2 linked regions of the Arabidopsis thaliana genome follow. The protein of the gene in region 1 interacts with the protein of each later gene in a pairwise test. Each region holds a gene or a part of one and is shown on either strand. Other genes may lie near its edges.

Evidence for each region.
Region 2: the proteins of ROXY2 (region 1) and TGA10 interact in a two-hybrid assay, tested with the Arabidopsis thaliana proteins (one study listed by BioGRID).

The regions. Positions count from the first base shown.
Region 1 is NC_003076.8:4,539,640-4,543,123, reverse strand, and holds ROXY2 (Thioredoxin superfamily protein), read right to left. Parts: upstream 1,345-3,484; 5' UTR 1,210-1,344; coding exon 787-1,209; 3' UTR 539-786; downstream 1-538.
Region 2 is NC_003076.8:2,118,695-2,126,728, forward strand, and holds TGA10 (bZIP transcription factor family protein), read left to right. Parts: upstream 1-1,777; 5' UTR 1,778-2,216; coding exon 2,217-2,290; intron 2,291-2,374; coding exon 2,375-2,496; intron 2,497-2,867; coding exon 2,868-2,959; intron 2,960-3,165; coding exon 3,166-3,294; intron 3,295-3,418; coding exon 3,419-3,484; intron 3,485-3,592; coding exon 3,593-3,652; intron 3,653-3,739; coding exon 3,740-3,817; intron 3,818-3,908; coding exon 3,909-3,990; intron 3,991-4,080; coding exon of another isoform or gene 4,081-4,083; coding exon 4,084-4,355; intron 4,356-5,499; coding exon 5,500-5,754; intron 5,755-7,370; coding exon 7,371-7,523; 3' UTR 7,524-7,763; downstream 7,764-8,034. Other genes in the region: AT5G06830 (uncharacterized protein), read right to left, coding at 1-89, 162-256, 526-660, 805-865. UniProt on the Arabidopsis thaliana protein: Together with TGA9, basic leucine-zipper transcription factor required for anther development, probably via the activation of SPL expression in anthers and via the regulation of genes with functions in early and middle tapetal development.

The sequences.
Region 1 (3,484 bases):
TGAGTATAACTTATCTCAAGGTATATATGCTATTTAGTTCCTTCTTTTACTCATCATGGTAATTGATGAGCCCTTTAAAGTTGTAATGGAAGTGAAATGTTTAAAAACCTTCCAAACTCAGATAATGTGACCTTGTAATTGTAGTTTTCTTACAACTTTGAGAAGAAGAAAAAACAAAGAAAAGGTGACATGTGATTGTATGAAATATGAATGACTGAAGAAGTGTTCTCTAATTTGTTTTTTAAAAGCAAAAATGAATTAGGAAGGAATTGATAGCTGTAAAATCAGTGACGTTATTGGATGATCATGTACGGGCTCTTCTTGACGCAACGGTCGGGTCAAAATCACGGATTATTGTTAGTGGGTCTCCACGTAATCTGGAGTGGGGACCCCTCATGAGGTGATTATTTCCCCCACAAGTTAACAGTTATAACGGTTAAGATTTTAGGTCATGAAAATAACCTCCTCGTTCTTGTCTTAGTTTGACCTTTAATTTTATTTTATTTTCATGGCAAATTTTTATTTGTGAAAAATGACCATTAAATTTTGCAAATCAACTGTCAAATTGTAAAATTAGAGATAAGAAAGCTAACAAGAGACATAGCGATTAGTTAACATTTATATATTAGTGTGATTTAAGATAGACAAAGAGCTAAGCTTAAAACAAACGCATCACTCTTCTCTCTCACTGTCTCTAATTCAACACTGGGATTAACCTATTTCTTCTGTCCTTAAAAACCAAAGATAAACCAAAGGTTGATATTTGGAGGATGAGATTAGCACTCATCAGAGCCAAAGAGCGCCAGCATCTTTGAGAAGAGGGACGAGTGAGCCATTGATATGTGAAGCCATCACTCTCTCCATTGCTCCTACCATCTTCCCTCCGATGAACACCACCGGAAGTGCCCCCGGAGATGTGGCGCCACCGCTGGAACAGCCAAGGAGACGGAGGAGAGCTCGGTGGATTTCAACTCCGTAAGGGAGGAGGTCGAGCTCGTGGACGGCGGGGCTGACGCCCATTCCACGGAAGAGACGCTTGATGGCATGGCACATGCAGCAAGTGCTCACGCTGAATATAACCACCGCATTCTCTGCCGCCATCGACTCTATCTTCGCCAGTGTCTCCGACGGAAACACATTCATGTTGTTCATCACCTTACTGTTGTTGTTGTAGGACAACGACCCTCGAGTTTCTGTTTTGTATTGCATCTTTTTTTGTATTCTTAGAGAAAAAGAGAAAGAGAATAAGAGAGTGAGAGAGCGAGAGAATTTGTGTGAGAGTTGGTTGGGGAGAGAGTGAGAGGCATGCAGAGTATTTATACATGGTGAAGTTCTAAATTTAACTGGTAGGTTTTAATTTATTTTAAAATGGCATATTATTAGAGAGGATATGCCAAATGATAACAAAGTTATTGATGTGATAGTCATGGACCATCATGGTTGCTAGCTTTTGTTATGATAGGATGATATTTTTAAGAGACATTTGAGTCCCATTTAAGTATAATTATTTATTTTTTCAAGATTTTACAACCATATAAAAGTAGAATATTATTCAGTTAAATAGGTTAGTAGAATAAGGGAATTGTTGGTAATGGATATATCTATCCTTCTTGTCGGCTTTTTCTGTAATATCTTCTTACACATTTACACTAGCTAGCTAGTTTTTGTCTGCGAAATTGGTCCAATATTATCAAATACAAATGGTCCAATATATGCATATATATAAATACAAATGGTCCAATATTCATGTGTATATATATATATTGTATATAGAGACGCGCCGAATAATAAATTTGATGCTGCCAACATTATGTGAGCAAGTCGTAACGCAGAGATGAGGTCGAATGTTTGGATATATGGCCGGTGGTTTTCCATTATATTCCGTATTCACTTTATGCTCTCAAATCCTCTCTAATCAATCTCTATAAACAAGCTACATATAATACCATTATCAATATGATCGCAAAAGGAGTGGAATATATATTTTGGATTGTGTAATCCAATTAGCATCTCACAAATGTAGCGCTAAACATATATACAAGTTGGAATATCTTTTGGTGATCAAGATCGAATTTCGTAACCATTTTATTATTCTTAGCCCCTAATGGGATATAGAAAATTGGCTAGTTAATGTTATATAAAAAGAAATAAAGGAGTCATCAATATTCTTGAGAATGAACTTTTAAAAGAGATTGTAGTTGCCAACAGTGTTTAGTTGCTTACCATCAGAATGTCAGTGTTCTTGATGTATGGAAATTACAAGTTGGCATGTGTTCTTGGTTTGCTACCATCTTTTTCTTTATATATGATTATTAAATGTTGTGAATTCAGTTAGACAAAAATGTATAGTTCCATATATATATAGTTTGGATTTGTAGATAATTTTACCAAAAGGCTGAGAAAAAAGGTTGAATTTTACAAAGTTGGTCACATGCTTTTTTGGCTTTCATGCATGCTTCTGCCTTCCTTTTGTTATCTGCAAAATTTGCCTTCTTGTTTCTCATGTTTGACCAACCCCTTCCATAAAAAGGAAAAATGCTAAAATAAAAACATTTATCGTTGTCAGCACAAACAACTTGTTATGAAATTTGTAGGTACCCAATCTGCAATATAGAGTCACCTCTCATCGATTGATTATATATGAATAATATCCCTAAATTATTCATATTCTATACATCGATCTATTTGAGAACATTTCTGTTACTTTTTAAGAAAATAAAAGAAAGCTTAAGATATGGGTATATATAGTTTAAGTGAGTCCGAAGAGTTAAATGTCCCTTCATTGGTTTAAGATTTGGTGTATAAACTAATTAAAGCTGATTTATATGATTTGGAGGACTAAATCTTTGTTCTTAAGATGATGATAAAATAACAATCTTTGAGGGATTGCGTTTGTCGGACCACTTTATCATATATTATATGGAAAAAATTGGAAGGCCGTTACAGAAGCCTTACGTAACAGATTTCATCAGATGTGTATTTCTCGTTGACCGGCTGGTCGGTCGGATATGACCCTGGTCAAGTAACTGTTGCTTATGCTTTTCAGGAAGGGTATTTTCGGTATCATTTAAAGTGTTTCTTTACTTTCTAAGGGCATCTTCAAGGCTCAACACCATTTTGGTGTTCAAATTACATCATTTTTAGCACTAAAACTTGTGTTTTTTCCGACCATAACACCAAAAATCATACTAAAAAAAATATATACTATTATATTATCTATTTAAAAGATTTCTTTTATTATTTAATAGTTTTGATTAGTATTTATTACTAGTATAGAATTACATAACATTATAAACATAGTATATTGAAATATATATTTAAAAATACATAAAATTGTAACTATTTTGAGTATTTTCATACATAATAATATAAAAATATCATAACTAAATAAACTATTTCAAGAGATATAATATATTAATGTATCCATTCATTTTTATATTTTATATCTATTAATCATTTGTAATTTTATATTTGTTAATTGAAT
Region 2 (8,034 bases), 2.4 Mb from region 1:
TAATTAACATTCTGAATTATTATCTGAGCTGCCTCCCCAAGATAAATGTGATCTTTTTCAAACGCACGAACAATTGCTTCCCAAACACCCTAAAAGAGCATTATACAGCTGAGACAATGAACACAAACAAAAGTGCGAAACAGAGAGACAGTTTTCCTTACAGAAGCACCCGAAAGTCGACCAAAGATGTTGCGGCTTTCCGGAGTTGTCTTCAGGAGAATCTCATACACCTTTTTGACCTCCAAGTAACCGATCACTGGAAGCAAAACAACATTAAACTTGAATGAGAATACAACCAAGTAAGGCCCTCCTCCTAATCAATCATCAGACATAACCAAACAACAAACAAGCTTACGGTGTTCACAAAGATGCCAATAAAATCTCTTTGGCATTTTCAAACAAAATACTAACACTTTAAGTTATAAATGAGAGCAGTGAACCAAAACGCAATTTAAGACGAATTCGTTTTGAAGGTTTGAAAATTCGCCAAACTGATAAAAGAACAAAATTTGAAGAATTTAAAACCTTCAGGATCTAGGGTTTGAAAGAATGGATCGATCTCTTTAGGCAAAGAAGAGAACTCTTTTAAGATTTTGACTCTGATCACAGCAACCCTCTTCCTCCAATCCGCCGGAATTCTCTTCCGATCCACCAACCATTCTTCAAATTCAACAAAATTGAAATCAAATGAAGACAATAATCACCAACGCAGATTCGAATCCAACGAAGAAAACGAAAAAAAAAAACCAAAGAGATATAAAAATTTAAAATTCCGTGTACTCGTAATTGATAGTTCTGCATTACCTCCGAGACGAGAGAAGGTGATATCGATTGGAAGATTTTGAACATCATCTTGTGACGGCATTTTCTTCCGGTTAACCTTTCACGCTTTCTGGGAAATTTTATCTCCGAAGTCTCACACAGTTTAACGTTTTGGAGTCTCAAGAGTTTGCTACAGAAGAACGCATAATTTCATTGGTCTCATCAAATATCTCGAATCCGGTTATTGAACTAACCGAACCAATTTACTCCGGTCCGCGGCAGATTAAATTGTTTATTGGTTTTATATGGGTTGGTTGGATGGTCCATTACCGCGGTTAACATAAACTGGTCTATCTAGTAACGTCGGTTTTACCTTTACGGATTAGTCTACAGATTTTAAACTTTTTTTTCTTTACAAGTTAAAACTATTTTGAGGAAATTATTTGTATGAATATTTTGTGAATGATGGGAAAGAAATCAAAATTAGTTTACCAGCTCAATTTGATCAAACCAATTAGCTTAACAAAAACAAAACCTAGACCATATTAGTGCCCATTCAAACAAAGTACAATGGAACAGTTAGAGATACAAACAAAATTCAATCAATATATTTGACAATCTAAGTTCATAAATCACATAATAATGACTTTTAACTTGTTTCATATAATGTCTAGTGTTTATAGATTGAATGTAAGAGCGGTTAATGGATCATTAAAAATCGAATAAAAAATCTTATAATAATAATATAGATGATGGAATTGAAAAGTATATCTTAAAGTAAAAATCTAATAGCTGAATAATATATATAGGAGAAATATAATAATAATAATTTAGAGAACAAACAAAAAATATTTATACAAGTTTGTTATCAGCAATGTGACTAGAGAGAAGGAAGAAGAAGAGAGAGGGGATGGAAAAGGACATGTTCTTGACCGCTTTATCAGAATATTTTTCTTGGTTTCATACAAAAATAAAAACAAAGTCGTCTTCTAATATTTTAAGGTAGAAGAAACTTATACAACAAAAATATCAGAAAATAAAAAGGAGTTTGTCTTTAGGTTCTTCTCTCCAATCTCTATTTTTCTCTCCAATATCCTTCTTAAGTTTTTGAACCCTCTCCACTTCAATATAACCGACCTCTCTTCTCTCTTCTGAAAAAAACACCAAAGGAGCTTTAAATGCTCCGTTACATAATCTCTATCTCTTTCCAAGAATATAGAGAAAGGAAAATAATATACAAGAATTAAAAGAAGGTATATCATCATCTCTCTAGCTAGTGATCAAAGCACCGTCATCATCATCATATATCATCAGCTTGCCTCAGAGGAGAAGACCAACATAAGAGAGATCGAAGATCAAAATCTATCTCTCTTCATCATCTTCTGCTGTTACTATCATATCACACGCTCTCTCAAACATCATCCTATATATAGACTTCTCTTCATCATCATCAAATGCAAGGTCATCACCAGAATCATCATCAACACTTATCATCATCCTCCGCCACGTCTTCCCATGGAAACTTCATGTAATTTTTACTCACTTAATAACTTTTTGAATTGATTGATGATCCCCATGTTTTTAATAAGAGAGCTTTAATTTATGTGTGCAGGAACAAAGATGGGTATGATATTGGAGAGATAGACCCATCACTCTTCCTCTATCTTGATGGACAAGGACATCATGATCCTCCATCAACTGCTCCTTCTCCTTTACATCATCATCACACAACTCGTATGCACTCTCTCTCTCTCTCTTTTCTTTCTTTTTTGGGAATTGGGGTTTGTTTTTTTGGTTTCAGCAGATAAGGAAGATTCCCTTTAGGTGTGTGAGAGAGAGAGAGAGTCACAGCAAAAGCATGCCAAACAGATTTCAATCTTTCTTCTGCCATCAGTACTCTATTCTTTCAGCTTTGACCAGATCCTCTCTCTTTTCAGACACCAAATCTTTCAAATCCATATATCTTACACTTCTTTAAACCCTTTTCTCTCTCTGTCCTTTTTCTTCTAATTAGAAGAACTAGTCCGCTCACATATTTATATACATGACTTGTTATAACTAGACCATTTCTCATACATATGGTCACATGACTCATCTTATGGCAGAGAATTTGGCGATGAGACCTCCAACATCGACGCTCAACATCTTTCCATCTCAGCCTATGCACATAGAGCCACCTCCTTCTTCTACACACAATGTAATAATTATTACTATTACTTTATAAATTTCTATATATATATGCCAATTTTAGTTGGTTTCTGTTTCTAATTTAATATAATGTCAGCGCAACTACTAGCCATTTCATATAATATCAAGTCAGACCAATTATTATACGTTTCTTATTTTTCTATTGAGTAGTGATTTGATTGTTTTTTGGTTGTTTTATATAATGTGTTTGGTAAGACCGATAATACAAGATTAGTTCCGGCTGCTCAACCTAGTGGTTCCACTCGACCAGCTTCTGACCCGTCCATGGACTTGACCAATCATTCTCAGTTTCATCAACCTCCTCAAGGTTCTAAATCCATCAAGGTCTCTATCCATTTATGTTTTTTTAATCATTTAATTGCTTTGTCGAACTATAACTCGAGTATAGATATAGACTTGTTGTGGTTGTTTTTAGAAGTTAATGGGTCATATCTAAATGTTATGGCAGAAGGAAGGGAACCGCAAGGGTCTTGCCTCATCGGACCATGACATACCTAAATCGTCAGACCCTAAAGTGAGTGTATATTCATACAACTGCAGAAAATTAATAAGATTCTTTTTTTTTTTTTTTTTTTTACTTTTCGGTTTTTGATAGTTTCTTTATTAATTTAATTCTCAACAGACATTGAGAAGACTAGCACAAAACAGAGAAGCAGCAAGAAAAAGCAGATTACGTAAAAAGGTCAGCATTCAATATTTGTAAGTTGCAAATATAGTTTTTATATCCAAATTTATTTATAACGTTATTTGCTTTGGTAAATTACGACAGGCTTATGTTCAGCAACTCGAGTCATGTAGGATCAAACTGACCCAACTAGAACAAGAGATTCAACGGGCCAGATCCCAAGTAAATATTTGAACCTGTCTTTTCATATATATTGTATTTAACCTAAAGTCTAAAATGTACCAATTTAATTTGATTTCCTATATATGTTTAGGGCGTATTCTTTGGAGGGTCTCTTATAGGAGGAGATCAACAGCAAGGTGGACTACCCATTGGCCCTGGCAACATCAGCTCTGGTACGTTAATAGTTTCATAAATGTGATGACTCAAAAACCGTAAAATTTGAAAACCGAGAGAATGAGATATTGAGTAAATGCAATGTGAAGCAGAAGCAGCGGTGTTCGATATGGAATATGCGAGGTGGCTGGAGGAGCAGCAGAGGCTATTAAACGAACTAAGGGTGGCAACACAAGAACACTTGTCCGAGAACGAGCTTAGGATGTTTGTGGACACATGTTTAGCTCATTATGACCATTTGATTAACCTCAAGGCTATGGTCGCTAAGACCGATGTCTTCCACCTCATTTCTGGAGCATGGAAAACTCCAGCTGAACGTTGCTTCTTGTGGATGGGTGGTTTCCGTCCATCGGAGATCATTAAGGTACATCTCGTCTTTTCTTATAGCCATATACATATATTTAGGTTTTTCGAGAGATATTTACTTATTCTATTCGAGCCACATCCCACACAATAATTAGTCATGATGATATTGTAAACTAATCAAATATGGATTAATAAATCTAAATTTTGGAATTTTACTTGAAGACTAATCATTTTAAATTTTATCTTAGAACCTAAAATATTCCAGGATACAATCATTAATACCATCAATTTTGTGGATTACTTGCAGAACATATACTAATAATGACTGAAATTGTGACATTGTTATTATTTATATCGTACATATATGTCCACAGAATATAGTACTTCCAACTTTATTTTATTATTTAGATTTTTTTTTTTAATTTAGTCTTTGATTCTCGTAAAAGAGGTACGATATAGTAATAATAGATAAGACAGACAAGAGATAGACTATATAGTGATATTGTTGGACGAGGTATATATATACATAACATTGCATGGGGTGACTCTAGATGTATAAAACCAACATATATACGTGAATGTCTTTATATTACGACAATAATAAAGGTACACGTAAAATTATTTTGAAAACAAATTAAGAATGCATGCAATTGTGTGTGATGGTGAAGTATCTCTAGAAATAGGTAGGTTTTGGCATAATGCAAAAGAAAGTGCCTGTCTGTTTTTTCGATTTATGGGATCCATAGGAGAGAGAGATAGACATAAACCACCATGGAATTCAACAGAGACGACCATAATAAACAAACCAAAAATAAATAATTGTTTAACATTTTTAGCACGCTCGTCAATTGGATGATTATCATTTTTTTTCTTTTCTAAAATGGTTACGTAAAGCCATTTTAATTAAACCTACTTTTTATTCTAAACAATATGAGTACCTACGATAGCCGATTAATAATACAAATTAATATATGGATGGTGTGCATATCTGACAAGACCTTTGGCAATGTCTCAATCTTATATCCTTTTTAGTGAAAATAAAAAGGAAAGAAGAGATTTTGGGTGTAGCTAGTAACTCGTGCAGAGTACATACACTACACACTTTAATGCATTCAACGTTCTTTATGCATCCATTAAGACCATTGTTAATTAATCCTCGATATCTCAACTTGTGTGTATTAATTAGAAACGCATGCATGCAGGTGATTGTGAACCAGATAGAACCATTGACGGAGCAACAGATAGTTGGGATATGTGGGCTGCAACAGTCCACACAAGAGGCCGAGGAGGCTCTCTCGCAAGGCCTCGAGGCGTTGAATCAATCACTTTCCGATAGCATTGTCTCTGACTCCCTCCCGCCTGCCTCCGCACCACTTCCTCCTCATCTATCCAATTTCATGTCACACATGTCCTTAGCTCTCAACAAGCTCTCTGCTCTCGAGGGCTTCGTTCTCCAGGTACCCTTATAACTCTTTCTTTTTAAGTTTATGTGCAATTATATATCAATATACCAATCTTTTATCTTTATATAAAAATATACCTATAGAGTTGATATACAAGTGGACCCCTAGAGGATATATGTGGTCCTAATCAGACTAGGAATACATATTCTGTTTCTTTGAACTACTCCTTATTAAACTCAACTATCATATACTTATATATTTCTATATTTGGCTGTTATAACACGCTATCTAAATTTATATAGATGTTTGTATATATGTGTGTGTCTGTTTTGTGTACAACTCATATATAGGTATAACGTCGGCCATAATTTGTTAGAGGACATTTGTAATATATTAAGTGTATATAGAATAAAAGTGGTTGATTTTAAAGAAGATGTCAAAACTAATTCGCAAACTTAATAATTATGCATTAACATGTATATGTATATGAAATGGAAAGTATTTGCCTCTTGATTCGGACATTATGCAAGTAGGTATCTAACAAACACTTCTCTTGTCTTATATCAACTTGGTCGGGTTGCTTTTCTTAGACGACCAAGTTTATTAATTTAATATTTATTTCTTAATCATTTACTAGTTTAGGACAGGCAAGTTTTTGAAACAAAGAAATATATATATCTGCTTGTGTATATTAATGTATAAGTCTATACTCTATATGCAAATGGACATTTCGGCTAATTAATTCTATACAAGATACATGCATATACAAGTTGGCATCTTTCAATGATTTCTTAATATAATTAGTTCTAAATTGTTCCTGTTCCGCCTATAAAAAAAGTTTTTGTGTTTCGCTACACGGTTAGTCGCTCACAATTTGGAGAAAGATCCAACTTTAAAATAGGTGGTAAATGTGGGGTTAGTTACTAAAAAGGGGTAATGAATTCAATTTTCTCTAAACGCACGTGACAATTGGCACCATGAAAGTATGTATTAAGTATACATATTCCAATATATGTAGTCCAAAAGAAAAATACATATATTATGTATCTATAATATATCACATCAAATAAAAACATGGAATGCTTGGAGCCCATATCGTTGCATGATGTCATGGACGTAACTGCCCAAGTATCCCATCCTCCGAAAACACTTCCTTGAGAATAATTCCTTTACTTACATTTGATTCTGCATTTTTTTGTCTACTTTTATATCATTGATAATAGGTTGATTATATATGTATGATTCTAATTAATGATCAAAAGTATCATGAAGCATGGCGTGGGACCGAGGGTATGGAATTCACGGTTTCACCTTTTTGACATGTTGGTGTCGTGTTCTTATTAGTGAATTACTAACAAGCTTTGATTTTTTGATCGATCAACATGTTGAATAATCGGCATTAGTCGTCAATCAACCACATAATTTCGGGTCATGCACAATCATTATAATGCTTAATTAGTCCTTTATCTGTTTTTTTCCTCTCTAGTTAGTCTTTAATACTTATATTTATGAGATTAATGATGGTCCAATTCGATTATTTGTCCTTAATTGGTCTTAGTCAATAACATGTGCACTACTTTGTCCATCTTTTGTTTTGCTTTTACTATTTCTCCATTTTCCCTATAACTCTTATTTAGTTTTGAACTAGCTAATACATTAGAAACTTACAGGCGGATAATTTGAGGCACCAAACGATCCATAGGCTGAACCAATTGTTGACGACCCGTCAAGAAGCACGGTGTCTTCTAGCCGTTGCGGAGTACTTCCACCGTCTTCAAGCTCTAAGTTCTCTCTGGCTAGCCCGTCCTCGGCAAGATGGATAATACTAAAACAACTGATGAAGGAAACCAAAAACAAAAACAAGAGAATAGGTTGATTAGTTAGCCGCCAGCTTGACCTCTTTATCATATATATCGTCTCTCTACTCAAATACAGTGCAATTAGGGAAAATTGTTTGGCTTCTTTTTGTTATATGATTCTTACTATTATGTTTTTAATCAAGATGCAGATTATATATATAGACAAGTATTCCATACCTTTTAATGAATTCTTCCTTATGCAAATTCAAGTGAAAAATTATACTTGATCTTCAATTCCAAACACAAGAACATGAGAGAGTATTGAAAGGAAACAAAAATAGAAGGCTGGCAACAATTGCAGTTGCATGCAAGACTTATCACTTGTTAGGTCAAATTAAAGCATTGACCAGTGAGGAAGGTGACAAATGGTGAGTTCTGTAGGATACCGTCAGGGACTTGGGATCAGTACCGTTTTGCTTTGGGTTCAACGCCCTTCTCTCTCTCCTTTACTTTTCATTTCTTTGCTGTCACCAGT